Schizosaccharomyces pombe: one gene and its partners. The protein of the gene in region 1 purifies or fractionates together with the protein of each later gene. This does not show direct contact. Each region holds a gene or a part of one and is shown in the gene's direction. Other genes may lie near its edges.

Evidence for each region. The genes of interacting proteins can lie anywhere in the genome.
Region 2: the proteins of rbm10 (region 1) and spt6 purify together in Schizosaccharomyces pombe (affinity purification with mass spectrometry, with the first as the bait; one study listed by BioGRID). This does not show direct contact.
Region 3: the proteins of rbm10 (region 1) and spt16 purify together in Schizosaccharomyces pombe (affinity purification with mass spectrometry, with the first as the bait; one study listed by BioGRID). This does not show direct contact.

What each region holds. Positions count from the first base shown.
Region 1 is NC_003424.3:1,512,123-1,516,482, reverse strand, and holds rbm10 (RNA-binding protein), read left to right. Parts: upstream 1-1,748; 5' UTR 1,749-1,854; coding exon 1,855-2,112; intron 2,113-2,166; coding exon 2,167-2,397; intron 2,398-2,468; coding exon 2,469-3,074; intron 3,075-3,116; coding exon 3,117-3,719; 3' UTR 3,720-3,800; downstream 3,801-4,360. Other genes in the region: ssz1 (putative heat shock protein Pdr13), read left to right, coding at 1-1,394; rps2202 (40S ribosomal protein uS8), read left to right, coding at 4,294-4,360.
Region 2 is NC_003424.3:4,211,761-4,218,731, reverse strand, and holds spt6 (transcription elongation factor Spt6), read left to right. Parts: upstream 1-1,870; 5' UTR 1,871-1,928; coding exon 1,929-6,026; 3' UTR 6,027-6,256; downstream 6,257-6,971. Other genes in the region: ATP-dependent RNA helicase Has1, read left to right, coding at 1-1,314; mrc1 (claspin), read left to right, coding at 6,389-6,971. UniProt on the Schizosaccharomyces pombe protein: Histone H3-H4 chaperone that plays a role in maintenance of chromatin structure during RNA polymerase II transcription elongation thereby repressing transcription initiation from cryptic promoters.
Region 3 is NC_003423.3:3,669,315-3,675,337, forward strand, and holds spt16 (histone H2A-H2B chaperone, FACT complex subunit Spt16), read left to right. Parts: upstream 1-1,965; 5' UTR 1,966-2,144; coding exon 2,145-5,204; 3' UTR 5,205-5,308; downstream 5,309-6,023. Other genes in the region: phosphomethylpyrimidine kinase Thi201, read right to left, coding at 1-404; RNA methyltransferase Nop2, read right to left, coding at 5,437-6,023.

The sequences.
Region 1 (4,360 bases):
TTCATCACTGTCATTATTCTGCCAATCCCGTGAATGTGGAGGGTCAAATTGGTTTCAAGATCACTGTTCAAGAGGACGAAGAATCTGATCCTAAAGAAAAGATTTTGACTGCTCATGAGGCTAGTGTCCGTCACTTACGCCGTCTTACTGAGTCTGCTGAGGACTTTTTGGGTACAAAGGTCAACGGATGTGTTATGTCTGTTCCTGTCTATTTTACTGACGCTCAACGTAAGGCTCTGGAATCTGCTGCCAATGAAGCTGGACTTCCAGTTTTGCAGTTGATTCATGACCCGGCTGCTGTTATTTTGGCCTTAATGTATTCCGAAGAGGTTCTGATCGACAAAACTGTTGTGGTCGCTAACTTTGGTGCCACTCGCTCTGAGGTCTCTGTTGTATCTGTTAAGGGTGGTCTAATGACCATTTTGGCTTCAGTTCATGATGAGAATTTGGGAGGTGAGCAATTAACTGATGTGTTGGTTAATTTCTTTGCCAAGGAGTTTGAAAAGAAGAATGGAATTGATCCTCGCAAAAATGCCCGTTCCCTTGCTAAGCTCCGTGCTCAATGTGAGATCACTAAGCGTGTACTTAGCAATGGTACTACCGCTTCTGCTGCTGTAGACTCTTTGGCCGACGGCATCGACTTCCATAGTAGCATTAACCGCCTTCGTTATGACCTTGCAGCAAGCGCCACTTTAAATCGCATGGCCGATCTTGTAACCGAAGCTGTTGAAAAGGCAAACATGGAGCCTTTTGATATTTCTGAGGTTATTTTAGCTGGTGGTGCCTCCAATACTCCCAAATTAACTTCCTTGATGGAATCCATTTTCCCTGAACAAACTATCATCCGTTCCTCTAGTTCAGTTACTCCTTTGCAATTAGACCCTTCTGAACTTACCGCGATCGGTTCCGGTGTTCAAGCTTCTTTGATTGGGCACTTTGATGCTGCTGACATTGCTGCTTCTACTGATGCACAAGTGGTTGATGTTCCTCACCTTACTGCTCCTATCGGTATCAACGAAGGTGAGAACTTTGTTACTATTTTCGACATCGAGACTGCTTTGCCTGCTCGAAAGACTGTTGAGGTGATTGCTCCTAAAGAGGGTGCTGCCTTTATTCCAATTTATGAAGCTGAGCGTTCAGTAAAGGTTACCAAAGTTGAACCGGAGCCTATTGATGAGGAAGAGGCATTTTCTGATGATGAAGAAGAGGAGCCAGAGGAGATTAAAGAGCGTATCGCTATACCCAAGACTTTGATTGCCACCATTACTCTTCCTGATGTTTCTCCTAATGCCAAGATCGAGCTGGTTCTTCAAATAGATGCTGAAGGGAAATTAACGGCAAGTGCACGTCCTAAGGATGGCAAGGGAACTAACGTTCGTGGATCTACTGCATAATTTTGGCTTGGCTATAAAAAATCATAAAAATTTATCTATGTCATAGTTTTTTTTCTATGTCTGATCTGTTGAGAAGAGGGTTTAGGAAAGGAAAGCTAGAATAGCTGGTAGACTGTATTAAATTAAAATTAAATTACACGGCCATTTATGCATATAAAATGTTTGATTTTTTCATTCATGTGACGTAGCAATATTTTTCAAAAACTGACAGTTTAAATTGACTTACTGAAAGTAAATTTCATGTACTATACTTCAATAATTTTATTCAACTTCCACTTCGTGATTTATATTGAGAGAATGATATGATGTTGCTGCAAGGAAATGTTGGTGGTGATAATTTTATAAGTATACGACGACACATTCACCTAATACAAACAAATTATGTTTGAGATGGTTGGAATAGTTTTCGTTTAGTTATAAGACAGACCATTTTAAATAATTAAAACTCGTTGTGGACATGATGAAGGATTATTATTCAGAAAATGGTTTTGAAGAAATTTTTGAAGAGAAAGGTTCGACCAGCAGTAATATATCGGACAATTGTGCATCTAGAGATTACGATGTAAATATTAGTAGTGACAACCCTCGTTTACTCGATTCATATCGTCCGAAAGGAAATTATGGAAGGGACAGGAACTCACCCCTTTCTAGACACATCGGTGTTCCTAATCAAGAAATCATTCTTCAAGGGTTGACTCCGGAAATATTAGAAGAACATGTGTGATTCAGACTTAATTTTTATTGAAGGAAATACTAACAAAAATGCGTGAAGATTGAACTTGCGTTGTACGCCACGGGTGCTAAAGTTTCTACTGTTACACTAATAAGAGAGAAAGAAACACAAAAATCTCGCTGTTTTGCCTTCGCTAAATTTGTTTCCTTACAGGATTCTAAGGATTGGATGGAAGCCAATTTTCCAACGCTGGTCATCGACGGTATTGATGTGTCTGTACGTTTTTCACGTGCGGCCAGAGAGCAGATTGAGGGTTGGTGTTGCCAAAATGTAAACAATTTTAACAATTAATATTGTTTTTTCACATATAATTTTTTTTTACTTACTAACTGTTGGAGTAGTGTGATATTCTAAATTATTCATATAGAGAGTCTTGCTTCAAATGTCGTGTGCCAAGGAATCAGGCTTCGATTGCTATTGGAAATCATAAAATCAGTAAACGGAATGGCGACATGGATGTAAGTGATGTACCCTCAGTATACCTTATATTACGAAACCTTGACCGTTCACTTTCTGAAGAAACGTTATGGAAGGGACTTTCCAAATTAGAAATTGACGTCCAAAGGGTTTTCATGATTCGATATAAGTTTAATGATGCGTTTTGTGGTTATGCCATACTAGAATTTAAAGATGTAGATGAGTCAGCGAAAGCACTTATGAAAGCCCGCACGTACCCGGGAAAGGGCTTCACGTTAGCTTCTAGGAAAGTGTCTGTTGATTACATTCATGATGGAGTTTTAATTCCTGCATATACGGAATCTGCAAGATGGCAATTTCCTACAAAAACTGGTTATCTCGTTTATTGGGACCCAGAACTATATTGCTCGATCTATGTTCCTGAAGGCATTGATACAGATCAGTTTAAACCAATTGAAGTAAATAAGAAACCAAAAAAAGAAAAGCGTGCACGATCATCCAATTACATAGATGTACCTGCTTCTAAGAAGGTATGTGTCTTAATGTTAGCATAAACCTGCTGATATGTATAGGTTGCCACTTCATTGCAAAGATGGAATGATGCGCAGAAGGAATTAAAAGACAATATCCCTGATCTCTCTGAAGAAGAAGAAAAGTTGCTTTTACACTTTGTGTGGAAATCGGCTTTAATATGCGTTTTGTGTGAGCGAAAGTTTCAGAGTTGGGGCCATGTAGTAAAACATATTACTCAGTCTATTATGCACAACAATAATCTGAAAAACCACGAACTTGTCTCTTCTGCAGAGCTTTTGATGCACCGAGTTCGTCAAACTGAGTCTGTTGATTACAGAGATCGCGCTACTGAACGTCGAATAGTACCTGCTGCTTCTAGTGATACAATAGTTGAGGCTAAAAAGTCATCTCAGGGCTCAAGCTTTCACTCCACCTCTAATGTTAGCATGAAAATGCTTAATTCTATGGGATGGAACAAAGGAAGTGGTCTTGGTACTAACGAAAATGGGATCAAGGAAGCTATTCAACCGACGATGTATTTGCCCGGTGTTGGACTTGGCAACAAGGGGAGTAAAATACAGATCAACATGACTCCGGTTGACAGAGTGAAAGACCGAGCAAGGTCTTTGTATTTTCAAAATGATAAAAACAATAATTTATAATAGGGAATTTTTTTATTTGCGTCGAAAATCTCTTAATATTACAGTAATTTAATACCATGATTTTATGTCTCCTACTTATGCTTATTGTGTTTGAGGAAATACAAATTTTGTAAAGTATGGCAATTCAATACTAAACGTCTAATATTCTATATAAAGTAATTTCCCCTTGGTATATTAAAACATTGGAATTCCGTACAGTTTAAGAGAAACACTTTATTTTTAACCGTATATGCCCTTCAGGTTACATTTCTAAAGTTTCTATTATTTTGAAACTACCCAAAGTCAATCAAATCAGTACTGAGTTAAATAGGGTAGGGTTTTTATGTGACTGCTCCTGTAGATACAAAACAAGCATTTCGCGAAATTGCAAACTGTTTTTACCACCTACAGTTTATAAAGTAAAAGTAGTCCAAAACAGGTATGAAATATTAAATATTACAAGATGTGAGCGGAAGTCTATTGGTACATTTATTCTTCAGTGAATACTTGAACCCAATGGGTGGAACCTTTTTTTCTTGAAATCTTTAAACAAGACACTCAAGAAAACTAACGCGCTTCTCGTCAGAAACACAAAATGGTTCGTCAATCTGTTCTCGCTGATTGTTTAAACAATATCGTCAACGCCGAGCGCCGTGGACGTC
Region 2 (6,971 bases), 2.7 Mb from region 1:
GCTTTTCTAATTCCTACCATTGAAATGCTTTATGCATTGAAATTTAAGCCTCGTAATGGTACTGGTGTTATTATTATATCTCCTACTCGTGAATTGGCTCTTCAAATTTTTGGTGTCGCAAAGGAGTTGTTGAAATACCATCACCAAACATTTGGTATCGTCATTGGCGGTGCTAATCGCCGTGCTGAAGCTGATAAATTGGTGAAAGGTGTTAACCTATTAGTTGCTACTCCTGGTCGTTTACTGGATCACTTGCAAAATACCAAAGGATTTGTATTCCGCAATTTACGATCCTTAGTGATTGACGAAGCCGACAGAATTTTGGAGATTGGTTTTGAGGACGAAATGAGACAAATCATGAAAATCCTTCCCTCGGAAAATCGACAAACCCTCCTGTTTTCTGCTACACAGACAACTAAAGTTGAAGATCTTGCTCGTATCTCTCTTAAGCCCGGACCCTTGTATGTTAACGTTGATTCTGGTAAGCCTACCTCTACCGTTGAAGGATTGGAGCAAGGTTATGTTGTAGTTGATTCTGACAAACGGTTTCTTCTTTTATTTTCCTTCTTAAAACGCAATTTGAAGAAAAAAGTTATTGTTTTCATGTCATCTTGTGCTTCTGTCAAATATATGGCAGAATTACTGAACTATATAGATTTACCAGTACTTGATCTTCATGGCAAGCAAAAGCAACAGCGTCGTACAAACACCTTTTTTGAATTCTGCAATGCCGAAAAGGGAATACTACTTTGCACCAATGTTGCTGCACGCGGGTTAGATATTCCAGCCGTTGACTGGATCGTGCAGTACGATCCTCCTGATGACCCCCGAGATTATATTCATCGTGTAGGTCGTACAGCTAGAGGAACAAAGGGAACTGGTAAATCCCTTATGTTCCTCGCTCCTTCTGAGCTCGGTTTCCTTCGTTATTTGAAAACTGCCAAGGTTTCTTTGAATGAGTTTGAATTTCCTGCCAATAAAGTTGCTAATGTTCAATCTCAGCTCGAAAAGCTTGTTTCCAAAAATTATTATTTGCAGCAGTCTGCAAAGGATGGATACCGTTCCTACTTGCAGGCCTATGCCTCATATTCTTTAAAATCTATCTTTGATATTAATAAATTGGATCTCGCAAAAGTTGCTAAATCATTCGGTTTTGCTCATCCTCCAAACGTCAATATCACTATTGGTGCTAGTGGACGAACAGACAAAAAAGAACGACGTGCGGGTTATAATAAGAAGAATCACGTTGATGTTTATTCAAAACAAAGATCATCAGCTATTTCTCAAGACAAAGAGCGTGGATGGAGCCGCTAAACTTCGTTCATATTAGAAGTTGATTTCATTTAAAAGGTTTATTTAATTCGGTTTTTCTGGCTTTTACAAATGACTTGGATTTTGAATGGTTGAAGGGAATTTTTTTTTCCTTTCATCCTTTTAATATTGGTAAATAGGGTTGTTTTCGCTCAAAAGGTTTACGTGTTTGAAATAATGGATTTCATAATTTTTATTGTAAATACCCGTGTAAGTTATTCAAAGGGAGTTTGATATCGGCTATAAATAAAGCCAAAACTAATCATTGCAACGAATGGTCGTGATCGTAACAACAACGTCTGTCTTGTATATCAAGGACTGTGGTATTTTGTAACAACAATTCAGATTAGCAGCATTGCATATTAGCTCTTGCAAAGCACTTTATTTTTATGCTTATATGTACGATTGAATATTTGTTAGAACTACAAAGCACGTTGCGTTGTCTTATAACATACTAGTGAATTTTAATGTGCTCCTTAAATGTTTTATGATGCTGCATTAACTTTTATTAAAATATCACCATCTAAAGCAAGCGCATCTTCAAGTATTGTATTTCTCTGCCACAATTGACCGCAAACCTTCGAGAAGCCGTTCCTTCGTCCACTATAGAAATAGGAATGAGTGAAAACGAAGTTGTCGGGTCACCAACCACCAATGGTGATAAAAATGAGGATGGTTATCCAGCTGAAAATGGAGAAGGCACAAATGTGGATGACAACAACAATGAAGAGGAAAAGGATGGAATTCCTTTAGATAATGACAATGATGAGAATGACTCTTCTGAAGAATCTGCAACTGATGAAGAAGCTGAGCGACAAGTTAGAGAGGGTTTCATCGTCGAAGATGAAGAAGACGAAGTTCCTCAGGAAATTCGGCGCAAAAAGAAACGTAAGAAGCATGCCGAAAGTACTGCTGATCAAGATATGCTTGATGAGGAAGATCTGGAACTTGTCATGGAGAATACAGGCCAAGGCTCTCGTTTTTCTAAGTTGAGACGTTTAAAACGTGGAAGAGATCAAGAAGAGACTCTTGAAAACATATTTTCTGAGGAAGAAGAAGAAGAAGAAAACGAAGTCGATGATGAAGCTCCTAATCGCACGCAAGGCCACCGCGCTGGCGTTATCGACGAATTTGCAGATTTCATTGAACAAGACGAATTTGAAGACGAAGAGCGTCAAGAAGAAAAATATGAGACTGGTCCGCCCATAGAATCAGTACGACCTGAGGCTTTAGGAATATCGGATGATGATTATATACAAATATACGAAGTCTTTGGCGATGGAACAGATTACGCATTTGCCCTTGAAGATGAAGATGCTGAAGACGAGTTAGAAGAGTCTGTCAGTTTGAAGACCATTTTTGAGCCCAGTGAACTAAAAGATAAAATGCTTACCGAGGAGGATGAGATCATAAGAATCACGGATGAACCTGAACGTATGCAACTTTATATGAAGAGGAACATTGATTGCTCTGAAGATGAATTTAGGGAACAAGTTGCTTGGATTATCGATTATCTCTTAAAAAATAGGCGTGATATTGATGCTGAACTATATGAGCCGTTTCAAACTGCTGTTCGCTATGTAGTTCACTTCTTTATTCGTGATAGTCTTGAAGTACCCTTCATATGGCAGCACCGTCGTGATTATATAGTGCATAACAATCGTGAGAGGAACACAATTACTCCTTTATTAAGTCAAAATGATTTGTGGAATATTTTTTTCCTTTGCACCAAGTTTTGGTCACTTCATTCTAAGAAGCAAGATATCCTAAAATTGTACTCTGATTTGGGAATTAATGATGATTTAGTAGTTCCCTTCTGTGAAGCTGCTTCCTCTCTTGATGCAATTGATGACCTTAATGATTACATACATTTCACTTATTCTGAACAAATCCGTGATCGTGCCTTACTGATGGGTACTGGTCTTCGTCGTCCACAAGGTTCGAAGTATTCTTTTTTTGAAAAATTTAGAAAATCATCACTTTACAATCTCGTCAAAGAATTTGGTATGAGTGCTAAAGACTTTTCGTTCAACGTAGCACAGGGTGCTCGTCTCCGTTTTGTGGAAGACAACACCCTTTCGCCTGAAGAACTAAGTCGTACTTATGTGACAAATGAGCTGTCATCACCTGAGCAGGTACTTCAAAAGGCACGTAGAGTTTTAGCAGAGGAAATTATTCATGATCCTCAATTTCGAAAGTCTTTCCGTGACAAATTGTACAATGCTGGAGTCGTTACTGTTTTGGCCACTCAAAAAGGTGTCCGTAAAATAGGTAGTGAGCATCCTTATTATGAATTTAAGTATTTAAAACGGAAACCCTTGGGCTCGTTTGAGTTAGAGCCAATCCTATTTTTAAAAATGTTAAAGGCCGAAGAAGAGGGCTTAATTCAACTATCGATTGAATTTGAAGATCCTGATGATGTTTTTAAAGGTTTACTCGAGCTTTTTGTTTCAGATAATTTTTCTGAGAACGCAATGCAATGGAATGCTCAGAGAGAATTGGTATTAAAAGAAGTATTTAAAAGGTTTTCTGCATTAGCACCCGATGCCATACGTGAAACTTTACGTTCTCGATACCTGGACGAACTTGGAATGCGCTGCCGAAATCAATTGTTTTCAAGACTTGATCAAGCTCCCTATGAGCCCTCAACTAAAAATTTCGATCGTGGCACTATTCCATCAGTCCTTGCCGTCTCCAATGGAAAAGGTGAATCGTCTGATGCCATTATCTGCGTATTTGTTGATGATGTGGGTGAGCCTACTGATTCATTAAAACTTGCCGATCTACGAGATCTTGCTAATCAAGCAATGTTTGCTGAATTTGTCGAAAAAGTTAAGCCAGATGTTATAGGTGTTTCGGGAATGAGCGTTTCTGCTCATAAAATTCGTCAACACGTTCAAGATTCGTTAACGTCTCACGAACCAGTAGATCTAATCATGGTGAATGATGAGGTCGCTCGTCTATATCAGAATTCTACTCGTGCTGTTGATGAATTTCCTACTCTACCAACTATTTCTTGCTACTGTGTTGCATTGGCTCGGTATGTACAAAACCCTCTGTTTGAGTACGCTGCTATGGGTCGTGATTTGATGTCTTTATCATTTGATCCTTGGCAACATTTGCTTCCCCCTGATGTTCTCTGGAAATACTTGGAAACTGCGTTAGTCGATATATCTTCTTTGGTGGGTATTGACATTAACGAAGCAGTGACTAACAAATATGAAGCTAATATACTTCCCTACATAGCGGGATTAGGTCCTCGCAAAGCAGATTATGTTTTAAAGAAAATCGCTGCTACCGGTGGACGTATTGATAATCGTAGTGATTTAATTTCAAAACAAATAATGTCGAGAAAAGTTTTCATTAATTGCTCTTCTTTCTTCATTATTCCTAATGATGAGTATCCCAATATGGATATTTTAGATTCTACAAGGATACATAATGAAGACTACGAGTTAGCTAGAAAAATGGCAAGTGATGCACTAGAACTTGACGAGGAAGATATTGAAGAGCTTGAAACCAATCGAGGGGTGGTTTACCACCTTTTAGAGGAAAACGAAACAGGAAAACTTGATGAGCTTGTTCTTGAAGAGTATGCTGATCAACTGGAACGTGAATTTCACCAGAAGAAGCGAAACACTCTTGAAAAGATCCGTCTGGAGTTGAAGGATCCTTATGGAGAGCAAAGGAATGTATTCCATAAGCTGACACCTTCGGAAATTTTCCTAATGTTAACCGGAGAAAATCCAGAAGAGTTGCAAGCAGATGCAATTGTACCCGTGAATGTTAGGCGAGTTACTAATAGGTTCGTTGCCGTCAAACTCGATTGTGGAATTGATGGAAATATTAAAGCCGATGAAGTGAGTGACGATTTTATACCCCCTCCCCAATTGCTTCAGGTTGGTCAAACAGTCGAAGGTGTAATTATTTCTTTGGACGAGGCTAATTTTATGGTTGATCTTTCACTTAGAAATAGTGTTTTACAATCGGCAAATTCTAAAAGACAAACTAGCTCTCATCGTACATCTTATTGGGATACTGAGGCTGAAAAGCGGGATACTGAGAGGATGCAGGCCGAAACACAGGCTGAACAACGAGTTGCTCGCGTAATTAAGCACCCGTTATTTAAGGATTTAAATGCCTCTCAAGCCGAAGCATATCTGTCGAAAATGCAAGTTGGCGATCTAGTTATACGTCCATCTTCTAAGGGCTCTGACCATATTGTCGTTACATGGAAAGTCGCTGAAGGCTCCTACCAACATATCGATGTGTTAGAATTGGAAAAAGAAAATGAGTTTACAATTGGTCAGAAATTACTAGTAAAGGGAAGATTTGAAAAAATGACTTATCAATACAGTGATCTCGATGAGCTGATTGTTTTACATATTAAAGCCATTGCTAAAAAAATAGATGAAATGTGTATACATGATAAATTTCGAAAGGGTACACAAGCGGAAACCGAAAAATGGCTTGAGAGTTATTCTGAGGCAAATCCTAAACGATCCTGTTATGCATTTTGCTTTGATCATCAACATCCTGGATACTTTATCTTATGTTTCAAAGCTAGTGTTAATAGTCCTGTAACGGCATGGCCGGTGAAGGTTATTCCAAATGCGTTTTTTTTACAGGGCAACGTTTATGGTGATATGACTGCACTTTGCAATGGTTTCAAATTGCTGTATGCTGCTCGAACTAAAAATTTTAGACGGATGTGAGCATTGATGGTTTAAACGCTTTACTCTTATCTGCAACTACGTGACATTTGTTTTACATAATTAAAGAAAACCACCCTTGGTTTATTTCATTTTCACCGAATTTTTGGCACATTAATATTGAAATATCCCTTTTTATACAGTTGATATCTATATGTTTTTTTTTTTACAATAAATTCTCTTAATACCCTGTATTTTTATGTATATATGTTGTAGTTTTCTTGTTAATAGAGCGCAGCTTGGAAAGTCGCGACGCGTCAAGACGCGTCGCGTTTGTTGATGAATTCTAAGGAGGACTAAGAGATGTATCGCGGCAAAGCAACTACCATTACTCGTTCAATAAGAGCTTTGTGGTGCTTAAATCTATGGCATCTTTAGACGAGAACGCTGATGAGTTGCACAGAATGGATTCTTCTGATGAGGCTTCCATCAATGATGATCAAGAGGATATTTTAGATACGCCTCGCACTAGGGTGAGGAAAATGTTGGCGAGTGTTGATATGCAATTGTCTAGCAATGCTGTATCTGAAGCATCTTTGGATAAAGAGAGTACCGTTGGCAATTTAGAGAATCAGAAAAATCGCTCGTATAGCAGCGAAATCTATCTTCATTCTGATACGAATTTTTTATCTAATTTTGACTCTGCTTATGAACGTGTTAGGCGATTATTAAATCAACAAGGTGGTAAGTCTTCTCTCCAAAAAAAGGAGGTTGAACAAATTGAAACTCAAGAGGGAGGTGATAATGCGAAGGGAAGTCCATCCTCTGAAAATAAGGATTCTGATAGAAATTCACGTTTACAACAATTAATTGAAAAGAAACGAAATGCCTTGAAGAAGGAACAGGAAGATCTGATCCAAAACTCTGCTACAAGCCATAGCAAATCAGATAATTTAGATTCTGAAAGTGCAGATGATAGCGATTTGGCAGACGAATCAGAACTTTCAA
Region 3 (6,023 bases), on another chromosome or scaffold:
ACCAGCTTCGAAAAGTTGAATTTCTTGGCAGAACGTGCAACTGCCTTAACGATTTCAGGGCTGCCAAGCATACCTGTTTTCACGACATGACAAGGTATGTCTCGAATGCAACAATCGATTTGAGATTCTACGAAGGCAGGAGACATTTCCTCAACAGAGTCTACTCCACCAGCGTTCTCAGCAACTAAACAAGTAATAGCACTCATACCATATACACCTAAACTGGTCATGGTCTTCAAATCAGCTTGAATTCCGGCACCACCACTGCAATCAGAACCGGCAATGGTTAGACTAACTGGAAGAGCCCGACGCTTGATGGTATAGCCCATTGGATCCAATACTGTTTCTATCCGCGAAGGATCAAACTGATTGGAAAGCGATTCATAAAGAGGGTTATACGGCATGATAGATATTGACTGGAAATTTTGTAAAATAAATGGTCCTAAATATAGTTATAAAGCAGAATTTATGTGTTAAATTTTCCTCAGCAAATAGCGAATTTGGTATGCAAAGGATTCTCAGAAAGAAAAGGGATTGAGAACAAATATACCGCAAAAAAGACGATATTAACTCAAGTAGACCCAATTTGAGGTTTTGTGATACAAAAAACGTTTTATTTGTTTTGTAAACATACTCTTTATATATGCATGAGTGTTCGTGTGTATGTAAGCGCCGTTTTTTCACGGACTCATATAACCGAACCCCATTTTTCGTAGTAGTAGTTCGTTTTTCTGCCTACATAAAATGGATGAGATCCATGATATAAGGATCTGGATATTCGTTTTTTTGTTTTCTTCATGAAATGTGGCATTACCTGGATCAGCACTAGAAATTGATTTTAATAGCAGCGCATATTTTGCATTTACTATATATTATTACTATATCCAGTATTTCGTGGTAAGTTTCATAAAAAATATTGAACAAATTCTAATAAATTGTAAATTCGTTTTTTGAATTTTAAGCCATACCCTATATCACCAATAAGGCTTACAACAAAGTTATATTTAAGATATTTGTATATTTTGTTACTCCGTGTTGACCCAAGAACTTATATTTTTATTGACTTCACTGGTTGGAAAGACAAAAATATCATGATAACCAGATATGAAACGTATTTCTTGCTATTATTTGTTCCGAAGCTTAAGATATCGCTCCTTATGGATTATTTAAATTAACAATAAAGTTGCTGATCCATTTAGCCATGTATAATTAAAACTACCACCAGTAACGGTTGAAGATTTAGTAAACTAAATTTTGTCTTTAAGCCAAAAACACTTCAATACGATGTTCGTCAGCTATACAAAACATTTTAAAAATTTCATGGGGATAATACCGTATATACTTTTAAGATAAAATTGGTATTTAACTGGTTAGTCGCGTAAAAGGGTTACAAACCACTTAATATACCTTATTTTTAATGGTGCATTTCAAAATTAGTTTCATCTAAAGCAAAGGTATACCGGGTAAAAATGATCTTTATAAATGGCTTACTAGTTTTGCGTTGTAGTTTTATAATTTGTTCTACTCAGTTCATTTTACCAAGCAAATCAATTTAATCCGTTTAAAGCTGAGTGCTCCAGAATTTGTGCCACTTTTCAATAACTAAAGCATTAAGTAATATCTATTGTCTTTGGATTGCTTGACGTAGGTAAATGATTTTTTAAATTACTACAGCTCATATATGTACGTAGACGTATTCAGACATGTATGTATAGTATTCGTGCTCCAAAAATTATAAAGCTTGTCCAACCGTTTACGATTATATACAGCAAAGCGTGATATTCATCCTGCTCTTGAAGAACCAAAAAATAAATAAATAAATTTTATTTTTTTATGATGCTTGTGGTCTATTATAAACATTAACAAGCTCAAATAATCAAGCTAGAACACATGCAGCGTAAGTCGAGTCGCGTCGCAGAAATCCCAGCCCTATATATCTACATTCAAAAGTACTACCACTTACCCACCTCCATCCACAAGATATCAAAAAAAGCTATCAATCAATAAAAAAAAAATAAAACAATTCCTGTTTCTTTTTTACAAAATTTTAAGAAATTTTGTAAGAAAAAGCCTTTTTGCCCTTTCAGATAAAATAACTATTCGCTAAAGAGTGAATATATCTTAAATCGTTAATTAAAGGTAAAATGGCTGAATATGAAATAGACGAAATTACATTTCATAAACGCTTGGGCATACTTCTTACCTCCTGGAAGAATGAGGAAGACGGAAAGACGCTGTTTCAAGACTGCGACAGTATTTTAGTAACAGTAGGGGCTCATGATGATACGAATCCATATCAAAAGTCCACTGCACTACATACATGGCTCTTGGGTTATGAATTTCCATCGACTTTAATACTTCTTGAAAAGCATCGAATCACAATCCTTACATCAGTTAACAAGGCCAATATGTTAACGAAATTGGCTGAAACCAAGGGGGCTGCAGCTGACGTTAACATCTTGAAGAGAACGAAAGATGCTGAGGAAAATAAAAAGCTTTTTGAAAAAATAATAGAGTATATTAGAGCCACCAATAAAAAGGTCGGAGTATTTCCTAAGGATAAAACACAAGGAAAATTCATTAATGAATGGGACTCAATTTTTGAACCAGTGAAATCAGAATTTAATCTTGTGGATGCATCGCTTGGCTTAGCAAAGTGTCTTGCTATAAAGGACGAACAAGAACTTGCTAATATAAAAGGAGCATCGCGGGTTAGTGTTGCGGTTATGAGTAAATATTTTGTTGATGAACTTTCGACTTATATTGACCAAGGAAAAAAAATAACTCACTCTAAGTTTTCGGATCAGATGGAAAGCCTTATTGATAACGAGGCTTTTTTTCAAACAAAATCTTTGAAACTAGGAGACATAGACTTGGATCAACTAGAGTGGTGTTATACTCCCATTATTCAATCGGGGGGTAGTTATGATTTGAAGCCTTCTGCTATAACAGATGATAGAAATCTTCATGGGGACGTCGTCCTATGCTCTTTAGGGTTTCGCTACAAATCGTATTGTTCTAATGTTGGTCGCACTTATTTATTTGATCCTGATTCCGAACAACAGAAAAATTACTCTTTTTTAGTAGCGCTTCAGAAAAAGTTGTTCGAATACTGCAGAGATGGCGCTGTTATTGGGGACATATATACGAAAATTTTGGGTCTTATACGTGCTAAACGTCCTGATCTCGAACCTAATTTTGTAAGAAATCTAGGTGCCGGCATTGGCATTGAATTTCGCGAATCTTCACTTTTAGTAAATGCCAAAAACCCACGCGTTCTTCAAGCCGGGATGACTCTAAATCTTAGCATTGGATTTGGGAATTTGATTAATCCTCATCCTAAAAATTCTCAGTCTAAAGAGTATGCTCTTTTATTGATTGACACAATTCAAATAACAAGAAGTGATCCAATCGTATTTACTGATTCTCCAAAAGCTCAAGGTGATATATCCTACTTCTTTGGTGAAGATGATTCTTCTCTTGAAGACGGCGTAAAGCCACGCAAACCACCTACTCGGGGAACGGCAACTATATCAAGTCATAAAGGAAAGACTCGAAGTGAAACCAGAGACTTGGATGATTCTGCTGAAAAGAGGCGTGTTGAGCATCAAAAGCAACTAGCATCGCGAAAACAGGCTGAGGGATTGCAACGATTTGCTCAAGGTTCTGTTCCGTCTAGCGGCATCGAAAAACCCACTGTCAAACGATTTGAGTCGTACAAGCGTGACTCGCAACTTCCACAAGCAATTGGTGAGTTACGTATTCTAGTAGATTATCGAGCTCAAAGTATTATTTTACCCATTTTCGGTCGGCCTGTCCCGTTCCATATATCTACTTTAAAAAATGCTAGTAAAAACGATGAGGGAAATTTTGTGTATTTACGACTAAATTTCGTAAGTCCTGGCCAGATTGGCGGTAAAAAGGATGAGTTACCGTTTGAGGACCCTAATGCCCAATTCATACGAAGCTTTACTTTCAGAAGTTCAAATAATTCTAGAATGTCGCAAGTATTCAAGGACATCCAAGATATGAAGAAAGCAGCTACCAAGCGTGAAACTGAACGTAAGGAGTTTGCTGATGTTATTGAGCAAGATAAATTAATTGAAATAAAGAACAAGAGACCTGCTCATATAAATGATGTTTACGTTCGCCCTGCTATTGACGGGAAACGGTTGCCTGGATTCATTGAGATACACCAAAATGGTATTCGGTATCAATCGCCATTACGTTCAGATAGCCACATTGATCTTTTGTTTTCTAATATGAAGCATCTCTTTTTCCAGCCATGTGAAGGCGAGCTTATCGTTCTTATTCATGTTCATCTGAAAGCTCCGATCATGGTGGGAAAAAGGAAGACCCAGGACGTGCAATTTTATCGCGAAGTTTCTGATATTCAGTTTGACGAAACTGGAAACAAGAAGCGGAAATACATGTATGGTGATGAAGATGAATTGGAGCAAGAACAAGAAGAAAGACGGCGTCGTGCTCAATTAGATCGCGAATTTAAATCATTTGCTGAAAAAATCGCTGAAGCAAGTGAGGGACGAATTGAATTAGACATTCCATTTCGCGAACTTGCATTCAATGGTGTTCCCTTCCGTTCCAATGTTTTATTGCAGCCGACTACTGATTGCCTAGTTCAATTGACAGACACACCATTTACTGTAATTACACTAAACGAAATTGAAATTGCACACTTGGAGCGTGTACAATTTGGTTTAAAAAATTTTGATTTGGTTTTCATCTTTCAAGACTTCCGCCGCCCTCCGATTCATATCAATACAATTCCAATGGAGCAATTAGATAATGTAAAGGAATGGCTCGATTCATGCGATATATGCTTCTATGAAGGTCCTCTTAATTTGAACTGGACCACGATTATGAAAACTGTCAACGAGGACCCCATTGCATTCTTTGAAGAAGGAGGATGGGGATTTTTGGGAGCTCCGAGTGATGATGAAGGAGATGATAGTGTCGAAGAGGTTTCTGAGTATGAAGCTTCTGATGCCGACCCTTCTGATGAAGAGGAAGAAGAATCTGAGGAGTACAGCGAAGATGCTAGTGAAGAGGATGGTTACAGTGAAAGCGAAGTGGAGGATGAAGAAAGTGGTGAAGATTGGGATGAATTGGAGCGTAAAGCACGTCAAGAAGATGCTAAGCACGATGCTTTTGAAGAAAGACCATCTAAAAAGAGACACCGGTAAACTCACAAATTTACTTCACTTTCTTATTATTTATATGTAGTTTATTCTAAAAATTCCAGAATACTTTATAATAAAATATTCCACTGAATTGAGATTTGACAACCAGATGGATTGATACAAAAATATAAAGACCGGCTCTTTACGACAACCTATTAATATAATTGTTGTAGTAACACGCGAATCAATGTTCAGTTACCTTTTATTGTGTAATCCCAACCTAACCAAAATTATTCTAATCCTTTTTTTTTGCAACCTTATAACCTTTAGACTTCAACCATTTGCGACGATTCTGCTCGATAATCTCCTTATCGGCTTCATCATTGAAAGTAATATTATCAATTTCAGTAGAATTCTTTTCAATTTCAACATCATTATTTGTTCCATCCTTCATATCATCAGCCACATTTACAGTAGGGATTTTATCAGAAATCTTTTTCAGTTTGGCAACGAAAAAACCGTCTATATTGTGAACATGAGGATAATAACGTCTAGTTAACTTTAGACTTGGATGAAATCTTTTTTCACGAAAACGGGTAAACCCTTCACGTCCAAATTCAAGTCCAGTGGACACTAGCTTAACATTAGGGCGCTTCTTTAAAGCATATTGAATAACTGCTTCATCTTCGTCAACAGTAATACTGCAAGTAGAATACACGATAAAACCACCGGTTTTGCTGTCAGCATTGACAGAATCAATAGCGCTTAGAAGCAATTGCCTTTGTAAATGGCTAAGAGTATCAAAATCCCTTTCAGATTTGTTAGTTTTAACAGACTGATCTTTATATATAACACCAGTACCCGAACATGGGGCGTCAAGGA